Stegostoma tigrinum: one gene and its partner. Each later gene encodes a partner of the first gene's protein in a complex. Links are inferred from orthologs where the notes say so. Each region holds a gene or a part of one and is shown on either strand. Other genes may lie near its edges.

The links.
Region 2: the proteins of kif15 (region 1) and kifbp are in contact, whole or in part, in a cryo-EM structure (PDB 6ZPH), measured with the Homo sapiens proteins. The link is inferred for Stegostoma tigrinum from reciprocal best matches to the Homo sapiens genes KIF15 and KIFBP. Residues at the interface, in NP_064627.1 of Homo sapiens: Leu187, Glu189, Ile191, Lys192, Lys193, Arg231, Glu232, Arg235, Arg271, Met280, Arg281, Leu282, Lys283, Glu284, Ala285, Gly286, Asn287, Asn289, Arg290, Leu292, Ser293, Gly296, Gln297, Ile299, Ala301, Val303, Asp304, Val305, Gly306, His312; in NP_056449.1 of Homo sapiens: Lys26, Tyr33, Lys36, Ile106, Glu109, Ile147, Ser150, Glu151, Glu153, Thr208, His209, Tyr212, Tyr213, Gln216, Gln219, His220, Phe224, Gln238, Glu248, Trp249, Ile251, Asn252, Thr255, Gln258, Phe259, Asn262, Tyr415, Val416, Thr417, Glu421.

What each region holds. Positions count from the first base shown.
Region 1 is NC_081355.1:8,298,090-8,305,546, reverse strand, and holds the start of kif15 (kinesin-like protein KIF15), read left to right. Parts: upstream 1-4,192; 5' UTR 4,193-4,318; coding exon 4,319-4,337; intron 4,338-7,457. Other genes in the region: uncharacterized protein KIAA1143 homolog, read right to left, coding at 3,807-3,914. UniProt on the Homo sapiens protein: Plus-end directed kinesin-like motor enzyme involved in mitotic spindle assembly.
Region 2 is NC_081373.1:57,846,750-57,854,483, forward strand, and holds the start of kifbp (KIF-binding protein), read right to left. Parts: upstream 3,053-7,734; 5' UTR 3,030-3,052; coding exon 2,676-3,029; intron 1-2,675. UniProt on the Homo sapiens protein: Activator of KIF1B plus-end-directed microtubule motor activity. Required for organization of axonal microtubules, and axonal outgrowth and maintenance during peripheral and central nervous system development.

The DNA of each region.
Region 1 (7,457 bases):
AGAAAGCTTTTAATAAAGTCCCGCATAGGAGATTAGTGAGCAAAATTAAGGCACATGATATTGGGGGAAAAATACTGAGTTGGATTGAAAATTGGCTGGCTGGCAGGAAGCAAACAGTAGTGATAAACAGGTCCTTTTTGGAATGGCAGGCGGTGACCAGTGGGGTACCACAAGGTTCGGTGCTGGGACCACAGCTGTTTACAATATATATTAATGATATAGACGAAGGCATTAAAAGTAATATTAGCAATTTTGCTGATGACACAAAGCTGGGTGGCAGGATGAAATGTGACGAGGATGCTATGAGAATACAGGGTGACTTGGACAGACTAGGTGAGCGGACGGATGCATGGCAGATGCAGTTTAATGTGGATAAATGTGAGGTTATCCACTTTGGTGGCAAGAGCAGGAAGGCAGATTACTACCTAAATGACGTCAAGTTAGGTAAAGGGGAAGTACAACGAGATCTAGGTGTTCTTGTCAATGAAAGCAAGCATGCAGGTACAGCAGGCAGTGAAGAAAGCTAATGGCATGCTGGCCTTCATAACAATTGAGTATGGGAGCAGAGAAGTGCTTCTGCAGCTGTACAGGGCCCTGGTGAGACCACACCTCGCGTATTGTATGCAGTTTTGGTCTCCAAATTTGAGGAAGGACATTCTTGCCATTGTGGGAGTGCAGCATAGGTTCACAAGGTCAATTCCCAGAATGGCAGGACTATCATATGTTTAAAGATTGGAGCAACTGGGCTTGTATACACTTGCGTTTAGAAGGATGAGAGGGGATCTGATTGAGACGTATAAGATTATTAAGGGATTGGACACTGTGGAGGCAGGAAGCAGGTTTCCGCTGATGGGTGAATCCAGAACCAGAGGACACAGTTTAAAAATAAGTGGTAGGCCATTTAGAACAGAGTTGAGGAAAAACTTCTTCACCCAGAGAGTGTGGATATATGGAATGCTCTGCCCCAGAAGGCAGTGGAGGCCAACTCTCTGGATACTTTCAAGAAAGATGGATAGAGTTCTTAAAGATAGTGGAATAAAGGGTTATGGGGATAAGGCAGGAACAGGATACTGATTGTGGATGATCAGCCATGATTATAATGAATGGTGGCGCTGGCTCGAAGGGCCTACTCCTGCACCTATTGTCTATTGAGGTTTGGAACACACCGTTGGTCATACAATCAACTTCAACATCCAGAAACAGAAGTTGACTGTTGTTTCCTTCTTCCCTTGTGAATTTAATCCCTGCGAATACATTGCTGTTTTCAATTTTGAAACAGTTTGCCTCCACGATTTGTGCCTTTCCAAAAAAAAAACAGGTGCGCTTTCTTCTTATTGGTTTATCGAGAAAAAGCATTTGTAGATACAGTAGGTTTAATCATTCAGGTCAATAACCTTCTGTCCAAAATCTGAACAGCTAAACTTATCTTTACCTCCTTACAGAAGCTGACCCCCTGGGCGTTTATAGAATTTTAAAAAATAATTTGACAAAGGAATTTATTTGATTACATTAGTGGTTTTTAAAAGCTCTGGGAAAATTTGAAATTGCTTACAATGCTTTACTGGTGGCTGCAGGGGAGCTTAGAAGCAGAAAGCTACAGCTATAGCTCATGCAGCACAGAGAGCTAGCAGCCACACCAAGGAGTGTACATGATATGGTATTAAAGTGACACAAAGTAATCATAAATTTGTTACAGCACAGAAGGTGGTTATTCAGCTCATTGTGTCAATACTGGCACCAAATGAATTGCTCGTTTGGACAGCCATTTTCCTTAACTTTGAATATTGTTCCTTTTCATATTCACAACTGAACAGCTTCACACACCCTCAACAGCACATTTCAGAATTTAAAAATCACAGTGAGAAAAATCTATTCCTCACATTGCTTCTGCTTCCGTTATCAATTTCTTCAAATCTGTGACCTGTTTTAATCTCTCCCTATTCAACTTAGTCCAAACCCGTCGCGATTTTGTACACCGCTGTCAAATCTCGTTTCAGTTTCTTGTCCCAAAATAAATAGCTCAACTTCTCAAATCTATTTTAATTCAAATTCCTCATCCGTGGAACCATTCTTGTGAGCGCCTACATCTTTACGAACAATTTCATATTGTATTATAATGGAATTTAGTGAGGTGGGCAATCCTGATACAAAAATGAGTTTGAACCACTGCACGACAATATAGGAAGAGACCACTCGGCCCATTGTGTCTGTGACAGCTCTTCAACCGAACTTTCCAGCCAACCCGATTTCCTCTACTCTTCTACCATTTCCTTGTAAAATGGAGTCTATTCCTACTTTAACACGGGTATTTTAAGGGGCAGGAGCTTGTAACAACCAGCTTGTAACTGATGTCCATTTCAAGCCCAACCAGCTTGTAACTGATGTCCATTTCAAGCCCACCGACTCCCACAGCTACCTAGAATACACCTCCTCCCACCCACCCTCCTGCAAAAATTCCATCCCCTATTCCCAATTCGTCCGCCTCCGCCGCATCTGCTCCCACGATAAGACATTCCACTCCCGCACATCCCAGATGTCCAAGTTCTTCAAGGACCGCAACTTTCCCCCCACAGTGATCGAGAACGCCCTTGACCGCGTCTCCTGTATTTCCCACAACACATCCCTCACACCCCGCCCCCGCCACAACCACCCGAAGAGGATCCCCCTCGTTCTCACACACCACCCTACCAACCGGATACAATGCATCATCCTCTGACACTTCCGCCATTTACAATCCGACCCCACCACCCAAGACATTTTTCCATCCCCTCCCCTGTCTGCTTTCCGGAGAGACCACTCTCTCCGTGACTCCCTTGTTCGTTCCACACTGCCCTCCAACCCCACCACACCCGGCACCTTCCCCTGCAACCGCAGGAAATGCTACACTTGCCCCCACACCTCCTCCCTCACCCCTATCCCAGGCCCCAAGATGACATTCCACATTAAGCAGAGGTTCACCTGCACATCTGCCAATGTGGTATACTGCATCCACTGTACCCGGTGTGGCTTCCTCTACATTGGGGAAACCAAGCGGAGGCTTGGGGACCGCTTTGCAGAACACCTCTGCTCAGTTCGCAACAAACAACTGCACCTCCCAGTCGCAAATCATTTCCACTCCCCCTCCCATTCTCTAGATGACATGTCCATCATGGGCCTCCTGCACTGCCACAATGATGCCACCCGAAGGTTGCAGGAACAGCAACTCATATTCCGCCTGGGAACCCTGCAGCCCAATGGTATCGATGTGGACTTCACCAGTTTCAAAATCTCCCCTTCCCCTACTGCATCCCTAAACCAGCCCAGTTCGTCCCCTCCCCCCACTGCACCACACAACCAGCCCAGCTCTTCCCCCCCACCCACTGCATCCCAAAACCAGTCCAACCTGTCTCTGCCTCCCTAACCTGTTCTTCCTCTCACCCATCCCTTCCTCCCACCCCAAGCCGCACCTCCATCTCCTACCTACTAACCTCATCCCACCTCCTTGACCTGTCCGTCTTCCCTGGACTGACCTATCCCCTCCCTACCTCCCCACCTATACTCTCTCCACCTATCTTCTTTACTCTCCATCTTCGGTCCGCCTCCCCCTCTCTCCCTATTTATTCCAGTTCCCTCCCCCCATCCCCCTCTCTGATGAAGGGTCTAGGCCCGAAACGTCAGCTTTTGTGCTCCTGAGATGCTGCTTGGCCTGCTGTGTTCATCCAGCCTCACATTTTATTATTTTAAGGGGTAACAGGCCAGACCAGCGCAAGGAATGAGGTTTGGCCAAAGACTTTGGGGGGGGGAAGGAACTGAAGGGTCGGACTGACCTTGGTTTCCACGGTCGGCCCAGACTTGTAACCCACATCTTCCTTAAATTTCCTGAGGAAGGCGGGTTCGGCCGGCTTCACGTACGAGATGTTGCTTCTTTTACTCATTTTTTTTCGGTCATGTGCGTGTTTATGGAAACAACAGCCGCTTCCATCAAAACGCAGATTTTGATGACGTTGAAAGCCAATGGAACACAAGCATGTAGGGAGAGAAACACAAATACACACCGTTTCATCACGTGACACAAAGGACAGCAATCGCGCCCTTTATATTTGCCCTTCCCCTCCTCCCCGCCCAGCCATCGTCCCATAGCTCCAGGGGTTACGTCACGCGTATTGCCCCACCCCTGAGTACCACGTGGTCTTTGTTGGCGCCGAAATTCAAACCAAACTGGCGGCCGCCATTTTGAGGCAATGTTTACAGTGTGAAGGTGAAAAGTGATTTAATTTGTCTACTTTAAATCGAAAGGACTCTGGTTGTATTCCTATACATATATAAAGAGACAGGAAAAATGCCTCCAACTGGTAAAGGTTAGTGCTTGATCTGCGTTTTTCACCCTTTGTGTGCAATCACCTCCTCTCTCCCGGTAATTATTGCTGTGACAGGATTAATATATAAACTCAAAGATGATAAGACATAGGAACAAAAATTAGGCCTTTCGGCTCATCGAGCCTGCTCCGCCATTCAACCATGGCTGATAAGCTCCTCAATCCCATTCTCGTGCTTTCTCCCCGTAACCCTTGATAATCAAGAACCTATCTATCTAGTTATCTGCCCAGAAAGGCGATTAATTAATAGATAACGCACAAACAAAACTGATAAAATTCACCCTACGCCCCAGGATGAAAATTGTCTGCCCACCCAAAGGTTTTGTGTTTATAAACCGCCTTTAGTCTAGTAAACACTCAAACCTGAAACAACAACGTTATCTGATTAAATGTCATCAACCAGCTGCGACTAAAAAAAAGACCAAAAACAAGTCCTTTTTTTAAAGTTTTGTGATTGTTGTTATTAACACTTTTTCCTGTGATTCCCGTGCTTATGGATCCAATGTTACCACCTCTGTATTTAAAGGTGGGAAGGTTTGTTTAATTTTGAATAATTTCCTGCATTGGAAAATTAAAGCTAAGCGATCATAGCCTTCTGTTAATTTACATTTCAACGGCCAATGCTTGCCTTTCAAAGTTGCCCCAAATGAGTGTCCAGCAATGTGTTTGACTGGCAATGGCCAATCACTTACATTTACTCTTCATATTTACTTTCATTAGTTAGGCTGAAAGCTCAAGATAATAATGATAGTGATGAAAACAGGACCTGGGATATGCATGGATAGCACAAACAGTCCTTGTATCAGCGTAGTAGGCTGCATAATTGTAGTGTTACTGACGACTAGTAATACAAAAGACAAGCCAATATCCAGGTCAGAGATAATGGGAACTGCAGATGCTGGAGAATCCAAGGTAACAAAGTGTGGAGCTGGATGAACACAGCAGGCCAAGCAGCATCTTAGGACCACAAAAGCTGATGTTTCGGGCCTAGACCCTTCATCAGAGAGGGGGATGGGGAGATCCCAAAACCAGCCCAGCTTGTCCCCGCCTCCCTAACCTGTTCTTCCTCTCACCTATCCCCTCCTCCCACCTCAAGCCGCACCGCCTTTCCCTACCTACTCACCCCATCCCGCCTCCTTGACCTGTCCGCCCGCCCTACCTCCCCACCCATACTTTCCTCTCCATCTTCGGTCCGCCTCCCTATTTATTTCAGAACCCTCTCCCCGTCCCCCTCTCTGATGAAGGGTCTAGGCCCGAAACGTCAGCTTTTGTGCTCCCGAGATGCTGCTTGGCCTGCTGTGTTCATCCAGCTTCACACTTTGTTAACCAATATCCAAGTTACATGGTTTTGAATCCCTCAAGGTCAAATGTGAAATTTGAGTTCAATAAAATCTGAAATCAAGAGCTGGCCTCATGGTTACCATGTAATCATCATTAATGTTGTAAAATTGCATCTGATTCACTTATGTACTTTAAGGAAGGAAATCTGTCATTCTTACCTGGTCTAACCTACATAATTTCAGTCCCACAGCAATGTGGTTGACTCTTAAGTGCCTTCTGGGCAATTAGGTGAGAACTAAATGCTGATCAAGCCACAATGTCCACATCCTGGGAATGAATAAAACAATTCAGATTGAATGATTGTCAATAAACAGCCTAAAGATGAGAAAGAAGGTGAATTTGAAATTAGTATAAAATTAGGGTAAGGAAAGGAAATAAAGTGAGAAAGAAAACTTGAATTTATGCAAGGACAAAATAAACAAAAGAAAGGTAATTTTGTAAAACCTTTACTTTTTTAATATCTCTGACAATTGAACTCTGAAGGAATAAGATTCTGCAATTGTATTAATTTATTTGCAGTATCAGGGAAGTTGACTGTCAGTAATTTATACTTATCACATTGATTACAAGGTACTTAGACAAGTGAGCAAGTCATCACTGGTGAGTTTAGTCTGTATGTGTTGTAAGTACAGTGCACTTCACACCGATAACACAATTAGTAAGGGGATTAAATGTAGATCATTTCAGTCAGTAATAATTAGATTCCATATTTAACCTCTGATTTGCCCCTACCTGGCATTGCTCCAGTAATTGTGCATAGCTAAGAGAGAGATATTAACACTGCCCATAATTTTAATGGTAGTTTATATGCCAGATATTTTCTAATTTAAGTTCAGAAATGTTATTACCAACCTCCAAAACCAGGGGGACTTGAACCTAGACCTCCTGGCTCAGAGTATGAGTGCTTCACAAGAATCTTCTCAATTTATGTACACAAACCTCCTGGGACAGGTGTATGTGGTGTTTTAGTATTGCCACTGCTTTCATATGCTAGAAAACCAATTATGGATGCCTAATTTGTCCATTTGTTTGTTTCCAGAAATGCAAGTGGTAAAATGAAATGTGCTTTGCAAACAGATCTCATTGGGCTGGTTCATAGAGTCATGCAGCATGGAAACAGACCCGTTGGTCTAAATTGTCCATGCCAAACATAATCCCAAAATGAACTGTCCCATCTGCTTGCTCCTGGCTCATATCCCTCCAAATCCTTCCTGTTCATGTACTTATCTAAGTGTTTTTTAAACATAATTATACCCACATCCATAGAAAGTTAATTCCATGCTCTGTGTAAAAAAAATTGCCATTTTTTTTAACTCTCCGTCCTCTCATCTTAAAAATGTGCCCCCAGTCTTGAAGTCCCCCATTCTAGAGAAAAGACAACTACCACTAACTCTATTTATATCTGTCATTATTTTATGAACATCTATAAGGTTGCCCCTCAACTTAGTATATAATATCTTCCAGTGTCTTGTATGCATGGCCGCATTGCATTTCAGCTTATCCTTTAATTTCTTCTTGCAGCAATGCATCAAGCCATCTTCAGTGGCATCTTCCAAACATGTGGCCCTGCCAACCAAGAGGGTCAAAGTAACAGATGCTTGGGAACATCACACTAACAAGTTCTCTAAATTATGCACCATCCTGACATGGTACTCTATAACCGTCCCTTTACTGTCGTTGTCTTAACACCCTCCCTGATAGCGTCATGGGTATGTTTACATTACATGGATTGAAGCAGTTCAAGAAGGTGAACTGCCATCT
Region 2 (7,734 bases), on another chromosome or scaffold:
ATTCCATTCACCTTCTTTAATAAAATGTGTCGCAATGGGTACCTGCATGGGTTCTAGCCCTGTCCACTATCTGGTCCCCTCCTGAACCACACCCTGCAAGCCCTGGCCCTATCCCTGATAATAAAATGTGAGGCTGGATGAACACAGCAGGCCAAGCAGCATCTCAGGAGCACAAAACCTGACGTTTCGGGCCTAGACCCTTCATCAGAGAGGGGGATGGGGTGGGGGAACTGGAATAAATAGGGAAAGAGGGGGAGGCGGACCGAAGATGGAGAGTAAAGAAGATAGGTGGGGAGGAGAGTATAGGTGGGGAGGTAGGGAGGGGATAGGTCAGTCTAGGGAAGACGGACAGGTCAAGGAGGTGGGATGAGGTTAGTAGGTAGGAGATGGAGGTGCAGCTTGGGGTGGGAGGAAGGGATGGGTGAGAGGAAGAACAGGTTAGGGAGGCAGAGACAGGTTGGACTGGTTTTGGGATGCAGTGGGTGGAGGGGAAGAGCTGGGCTGGTTGTGTGGTGCAGTGGGGAGGAGAGGACGAACTGGGCTGGTTTTGGGAAGCGGTGGGGGAAGGGGAGATTTTGAAGCTGGTGAAGTCCACATTGATACCATTGGGCTGCAGGGTTCCCAAGTGGAATATGAGTTGCTGTTCCTGCAACCTTCGGGTGGCATCATTGTGGCACTGCAGGAGGCCCATGATGGACATGTCACCTAAAGAATGGGAGGGGGAGTGGAAATGGTTTGCGACTGGGAGGTGCAGTTGTTTATTGCGAACCGAGCGGAGGTGTTCTGCAAAGTGGTCCCCAAGCCTCCGCTTGGTTTCCCCAATGTAGAGGTAGCCACACTGGGTACAGTGGATGCAGTATACCACATTGGCAGATGTGCAGGTGAACCTCTGCTTAATGTGGACAGTCATCTTGGGGCCTGGGATGGGGTGAGAGAGGAGGTGTGGGGGCAAGTGTAGCATTTCCTGCGGTTGCAGGGAAAGGTGCTGGGTGTGGTGGGGTTGGAGGGCAGTGTGGAGCGAGTGGTCTCTCGGGAAAGCAGACAGGGGTGGGGCTGGAAAAATGTCTTGGGTGGTGGGGTCCAATTGTAGATGGCGGAAGTGTCGGAGGATGATGCGTTGTATCTGGAGGTTGGTGGGGTGGTGTGTGAGAACGAGGGGGATCCTCTTTGGGCGGTTGTGGCGGGGGTGGGGCGTGAGGGATGTGTTGCGGGAAATGCGGGAGACGCGGTCAAGGGCGTTCTCAACCACTGTGGGGGGAAAGTTGCGGTCCTTCAAGAACTTGGACATCTGGGATGTGCGGGAGTGGAATGCCTCATCGTGGGAGCAGATGCGGCGGAGGCGGTGGAATTGGGAATAGAGGATAGAATTTTTGCAGGAGGGTAGGTGGGAGGAAGTGTATGCTACGTAGCTGTGGGAGTCGGTGGGCTTGAAATGGACATCAGTTACAAGCTGGTTGCCTGAGATGGAGACTGAGAGATCCAGGAAGGTGAGGGATGTGCTGGAGATGGCCCAGGGAACTGAAGGTTGGGGTGGAAGGTGTTGGCGAAGTCGATGAACTGTTCGAGCTCCTCTGGGGAGCAAGGGGCGGCGCCGATACAGTCATCAATGTAACGGAGGAAGAGGTGGGGTTTGGGGCCTGTGTAGGTGCGGAAGAGGGACTGGTCCACGTAACCTACAAAGAGGCAGGCATAGCTGGGGCCCATGCGGGTGCCCATGGCCACCCCCTTAGTCTGTAGGAAGTGGGAGGAATCGAAAGAGAAGTTGTTGAGGATGAGGACAAGTTCGGCAAGGCGGATGAGGGTGTCGGTGGAGGGGGACTGGCCGGGCCTGCGGGACAGGAAGAAGCGGAGGGCCTTGAGGCCATCTGCATGCGGAATACAGGTGTATAGGGACTGGACGTCCATGGTGAAGATGAGGTGTTGGGGGCCAGGGAATTGGAAGTCCTGGAGGAGGTGGAGGGCGTGGGTGGTGTCACGGACGTAGGTAGAGAGTTCCTGGACCAAAGGATAGAAAATGGAGTCCAGATAGGTGGAGATGAGTTCGGTAGGGCAGGAGCAGGCTGAGACGATGGGTCGACCAGGGCAGGCAGGTTTGTGGATTTTGGGAAGGAGATAGAAACGGGCCGTGCGGGGTTGGGGAACAATGAGGTTGGAGGCTGTGGGTGGGAGGTCCCCTGAGGTGATGAGGTCATGAATAGTGTGGGAGATGACGGTTTGGTGCTTGGGTGTGGGGTCATGATCGAGCGGGCGGGTCGAGGTGGTGTCGGAGAGTTGGCGTCTGGCCTCGGTGATGTATTTATTTATTCCAGAACACTCACCCCATCCCCGTCTCTGATGAAGGGTCTAGGCCCGAAACGTCAGCTTTTGTGCTCCTGAGATGCTGCTTGGCCTGCTGTGTTCATCCAGCCTCACATTTTATTTTCTTGGACTCTCCAGCATCTGCAGTTCCCATTATCCCTGGCCCTATCCCTGTCTGACTGACTGCAGGAAACGGCTGTCACGCTCCCTCACCTCCCATCCTCCCTATCGCCCCTGCCTAACCCCCGCAACCTCTGCTCTCCTTGTCCAATGCCATCCTCCGATTGTGGGGGTGATCTCAGGGACCTGCCCCATGTCGGGGTTGTGTTTGCGTCCCCCAGGTTCCGGTTGCCAGGAGACCTGCGCTGCCTCCTCACCTCGGCCTGGAGGAAGACGGACACGCCCCCGGGGCTAAGCCTGAAGGGTTCCAGGATCTGGATGCACTTGGCCAGGTGCTCCTCACCGGCGGACAGCTCCTCTGTCTCCGTGTGGTTGAGGCCGAGCTGCAGCTCGAGCACCGCCGCTTTCTGCAGCCAGTCTCCAGCCTGGAGCGGCTCATCGTCCCGCGGCCCCAACGATGCTTTCAGCTCCTTCAGCAGTTCCCGAGCCTTGTACTTGGAGCGATAAGGCTCCGACTCAGGGTCCCGCTTCGACTCTACCTCCGACAGCCTCAATGCCCGGGAGTATCTCACGCTCAGAGCCCTGTCAAGGCCGCCTTCCTGCGCCGCCATTTTACCCGTAATTACAGGGCAGCACTGCCCTCCGCCGAATGCGGAAAGCACTGCAGACTTCAAAGACAGCGCCTTCCGGCGGCCAGGAGGGGAGACTGCTGCATCTAAGCCCCAGAGCAGGAAAGCGGCTTCGCTGAGGGATTATAAAAGGGTTAGTGGTTAAATTGAAAAGCAGTACCTCGATTAGTAGCTTATTACCTGAGCCACAATCAAACTGTTAAGGGGCAGACAAAATCAGACGGATAATTGTGTTTTTTGTGTAAGGGACCACGTTTTCCTTTTTTTTGAAACTGAAATGCAAGTTGGCTTGCTATAACCTAAAATCCAGTGTTGCAGTTTTAAAAAAACGAAGTGCTGCATAGTTTGTGTCGATGGGCGCTACAGTGGTGCACTTTAATACAGTAAGAAGAATTTTGAGACTGAGGGTCACCATGTGTCTTTCAAGTACAGGCCCTTTGGCCCATGATGTTACGCCATACTTTTCCCCTAATCCTCAGGCCTATCTAACTTACACCCCTACCTTATACTATCATCCGTATGCCTATCTAATAGCCACTTAAATGCCCCTAATGAGACCAACTCCATTACCCTGTCTGACACCACATTCCACACCCCGACCACTCTGAGCAAGGACCCTACCTCTGACGTCTCCTCTGTATCTACCTCCACTCACTTTAAAACTATGCCCCCTCACAATAGCTACCTCCATCCTAGGAAAAAGACTTTGGCTGTCTATCTATACCTCTGATCATCTTGTACACCTCTATCAAGTCACCTCTTATTCTTCATCGTTCTAAAGAGAAAAGCCCTAGCTCTCTCAACCTTTCCTCGTAAGACCTTCCCTCCATTCCAGGCAACATCCTGGTAAATCTCCTCTGCACCTTTTCCAAAGCTTCCACATCATTCCTGTTACAAGGCAACCAGAAGTGGACACAATATTCCAGATGTAGCCGAGCCAGGCTTTTGTAAAGCTGGAACAGAACTTCAAGGCTCTTGAATTCAGTCCCTCTGTTAATGAAAGTTTACACACCATACACCTTAACAACTCTTATCCGCCTGGGTGGCAGCTTTCAGGGAATTGTGGATGTGTACCCCAAGTTCCCTCTGCTCCTCCACACTGCCAAGAATCGTTCTGTTAACCTTGTATTCGGCTTTGAAGTTTGTCTTTCCAAAATGAATCACCTCACACTTTTCAGGGTTAAACTCCATTTGCCACTTCTCAGCCCAGCCCTGTATCCTATCACTGCCTATTTCTAACCTCGAACAGCCCTCTGCCATATCCACAACTGGACCCACCCTTGTATCGTCCGCAAACTTACTAATCCACCCTTCCACTCCTACATCCAAATCATTTGCAAAAATCACAAATAGAAGCGGACCCAGAACAGATCCTTGTGGTCCACCAATCGTAATTGAGCACCATGTTGAATATTTTCCATCCATTACCACCCTTTGTCTTCTAAGCGTCAGCCAATTCTGAATTGAATCTACCACATTTCCCCTATCCCATGCTTTCTTACTTGCTGCTTGAGCCTACCATGGGGAACCTTATCAAACGCATTCACTGCTCTACCTTCATCCATGTGTTTGGTCACCTCTTCAAAGAATTCAATAACGTTTGAGAGGCATGGATCTACCCCTCATAAAGCTATGCTGACCATCACGAATCAAACGGTGCCTATCCAAGTGATCATGAATCCTATCTCTCAGAGCCCTTTCCAATAATTTGCCCACCACTGAAGTAGGACTAACTGGCCTGTAGTTTCTAGGATTATCCCTATTCCCTTTCTTGAATAAGGGAATGACATTTGCCACTCTAATATCTCCCAGCATTATACCCGTGGACAGTGAGGTTGAAAAAAATCATCAAAGGCCCTGCGATCTCGTCCCTCGCTTCCCACAGAATCCTTGGATAAATCCCATCAGGCCCAGGGGACTTATCTATCTTCAAGTTCCTCAAAATTCCTAGTACATCTTCCTTACTAACACTGACCTCCTCTAGCCTACCAGACTGTTTCACAGCCCTCTCCTCCAACTAGGTACCTCTCGGTTATGAATACCGAAGAAAAATATTCATTAATGAACTCTCCTATCTCTTTAGGCTCTGTGCACAAATTCCCCTTACAATCCTTGCTCGGCCCTACCCTGTCTGGTCATTCTCTTATTCATCATGTACGTGTAAAAAGCCTTGGAGTTTTCCTTGATCCTATCTGCCAAGGTTTTCTCATGTCCCCTTATAGCTCTCCTAAGCCTAATATTGGCAAATGGGACTAAATTAATTTAGGATATTTGGTCAGCATGGATAAAAGGGTCTGTTTCCATGCCTGACCTCTCTATGACTGCTCTAATAGATGTAATTTGTATGACTGAATAGCCGCTACAAAGATCTGGCTGCTAGACAGCAAAGGCTGAAACCTGAATATACAAGGATTCGCAACATTTTTTGGAAGGGCATGAAGTCAAGAAAAGGTAGATCCGTACAATTGAAAGACTTGACCTTAGTTCTAAACAGAAAGATATAAAATCATTTTTGGTAGACATATAATAGTAGAGGTCAGAAGTCACTTGTAGGAGCATTTTATATTCTTCTTAAAAATAACCATACCGTAGGATGGGAGTAAAGAAATAGTAAAGAAATAATGGGTAGTTTGAGAAAGTTAATGTCAATAACCTGGGTGGTTTTCAGCTACATATAGATGAGCCGAATTAGTGAAAATGGTAGCCTGGGAGATGAGCTCAGTACGTTTCAGAACTGTTTCTTAGAGCAGCATGAATTAGAGCTAACCAGAGAACAGGCTATACTCGATCAGATGTGCAACGGGATAGGATTAATTTATAATCACATAGGGAATGTACACTTGGGTATCAGTGATTATAATGATTTAATTCTGGTCTTGAGGGAGAGAAGAATGTATCCAAGACTGCAGTGTTTTAAACTTAAATTGGGCAGTTATAAGGGTATGAAGACAGAGCCTGGAAAAAAAGAGAGAAGTTAGAGTACAGATAAGTGGAGATGAAATTGCAGACATAACATTCAAGATAGCCATTCCAGTGAGAAAGACTCGAGAGAAATGAAACACCATCCTTAACTAATCAAAGTAGTTAAAGATTGTATCAAAATTGAAAGAAAAAAATGCAGTTCTGTGAAGAGGGGCTGTTCTAATGCAGTGTGCAGTGCCCCTACCTCTAAGCCAGGAGGCCTACGTTCAAGTCCCAACTACTTCCGAGGTGTGCAAAAACATGAAATGCATATTTGTAGAAAATATCTACAATTCAGTAAAGATCATGGTCAGAAGACTGGACAGAACATGAACAAAGAATAACTGAGAAAAGGGAGAAATTACAGTACATGATAAAACTAGTGAGAAATATCAAAATAGTCCAGACAGATATTTAAAAAGGAAAAGCATGTGTCAGCGGTGGTCCTCTGGAAATAATCAAGTTGGAAAATGACAGACAATTGAACAGTTATTTTGCTTATGACTAACATTCCAGGAATAATTGCAAATCAAAGAATGAAAGAGATGGAGTATCTTAAAAACAATTCAATCACCCAAGGAAGGAATACTAAGAAATTATTAGAATGAGAAGCTGAAAAGCCCTCAGATCCTGATGGATTTCATTCTAGAGTCTTTAGCTAATCCAAAGAGTAACAGTAGAGTTGACTACAATTATGCTTTTCTCCATTGGCATGTAAAAATTTATAACTTAGGCTTGATTTTAATCCTTGGTTTAAAATCATGAAACATTTGGAAATATTGTCTGCTGCTATTTTGTAATTTTGATTCGGTGTTTGGAGTAACTGATTACTTTTACACTATTAAGTTAGTCATGAATAATCAATCCTGCTTGGATGCACCAAAGCTATAATATCCACCACATCCAATAATATTTTTTCCTTTAACTGAGTCACAGCTATTTTACCAGTAATGTCCCAATAATGCTATCCACCGAAAGGTATAGACTTTACTCCCCCAGAATTATGGGTCACCTATTCTGCTGAGTTTGGAACTTTGGTCAGAAGACAACAAACATGGAGGGCAGGACAAAGGAGCCAAAAGGTTAAATTTTGCTGTTTTGGAGATGTTGCTTGAATGTTTTGTAATTTAAATAATAGGAGCCTCTCAGAAGTGAAGAATTCTTTGACAAACCCTTGACCTAACATTGAAAACATTCTGGTTCTTCCTCAAAGGAAATTTTAATTGTCAAGGAGCACAAAGAAGTGAACCCTATTTTCATAAAGCTGCAGCTGAAGCTTTTAAATTAAAGAGCATGTAATAGTGATGTATATGGGCCATAGATCGAGAAAAGAGGAAAACAACAGCATTCTCTTGCAGAGGAGGCAGGTTAGACAGGGCTTATATGGCAACTAGAGGCAGCAACAAAGGGTACTGAAACCACCAAGATTCACATTAGGAGGAGGAATAAGTGGTATCTCATTGGGACCAGTAAATCCAAGGATCTTTAAAAAGTAATAACTTAATAACTAATACAATTTTATAACGAGAGGGAGACCATTTGACCAAGTGCATCTATAATGCCTCTGCAAGTTCTCACCTAGCCTAGTTCTCAAACCATTCCTCATATCCTAAATTAAGGATTCTGCTGTTGTGCCTGCTTTTAGTCAGCATTCCATGCCCTAAGAACACTTCTTTACAGAAACTGAATATCTTGTTTGTTGTTTCAATAAAATGTAAATTAAAAT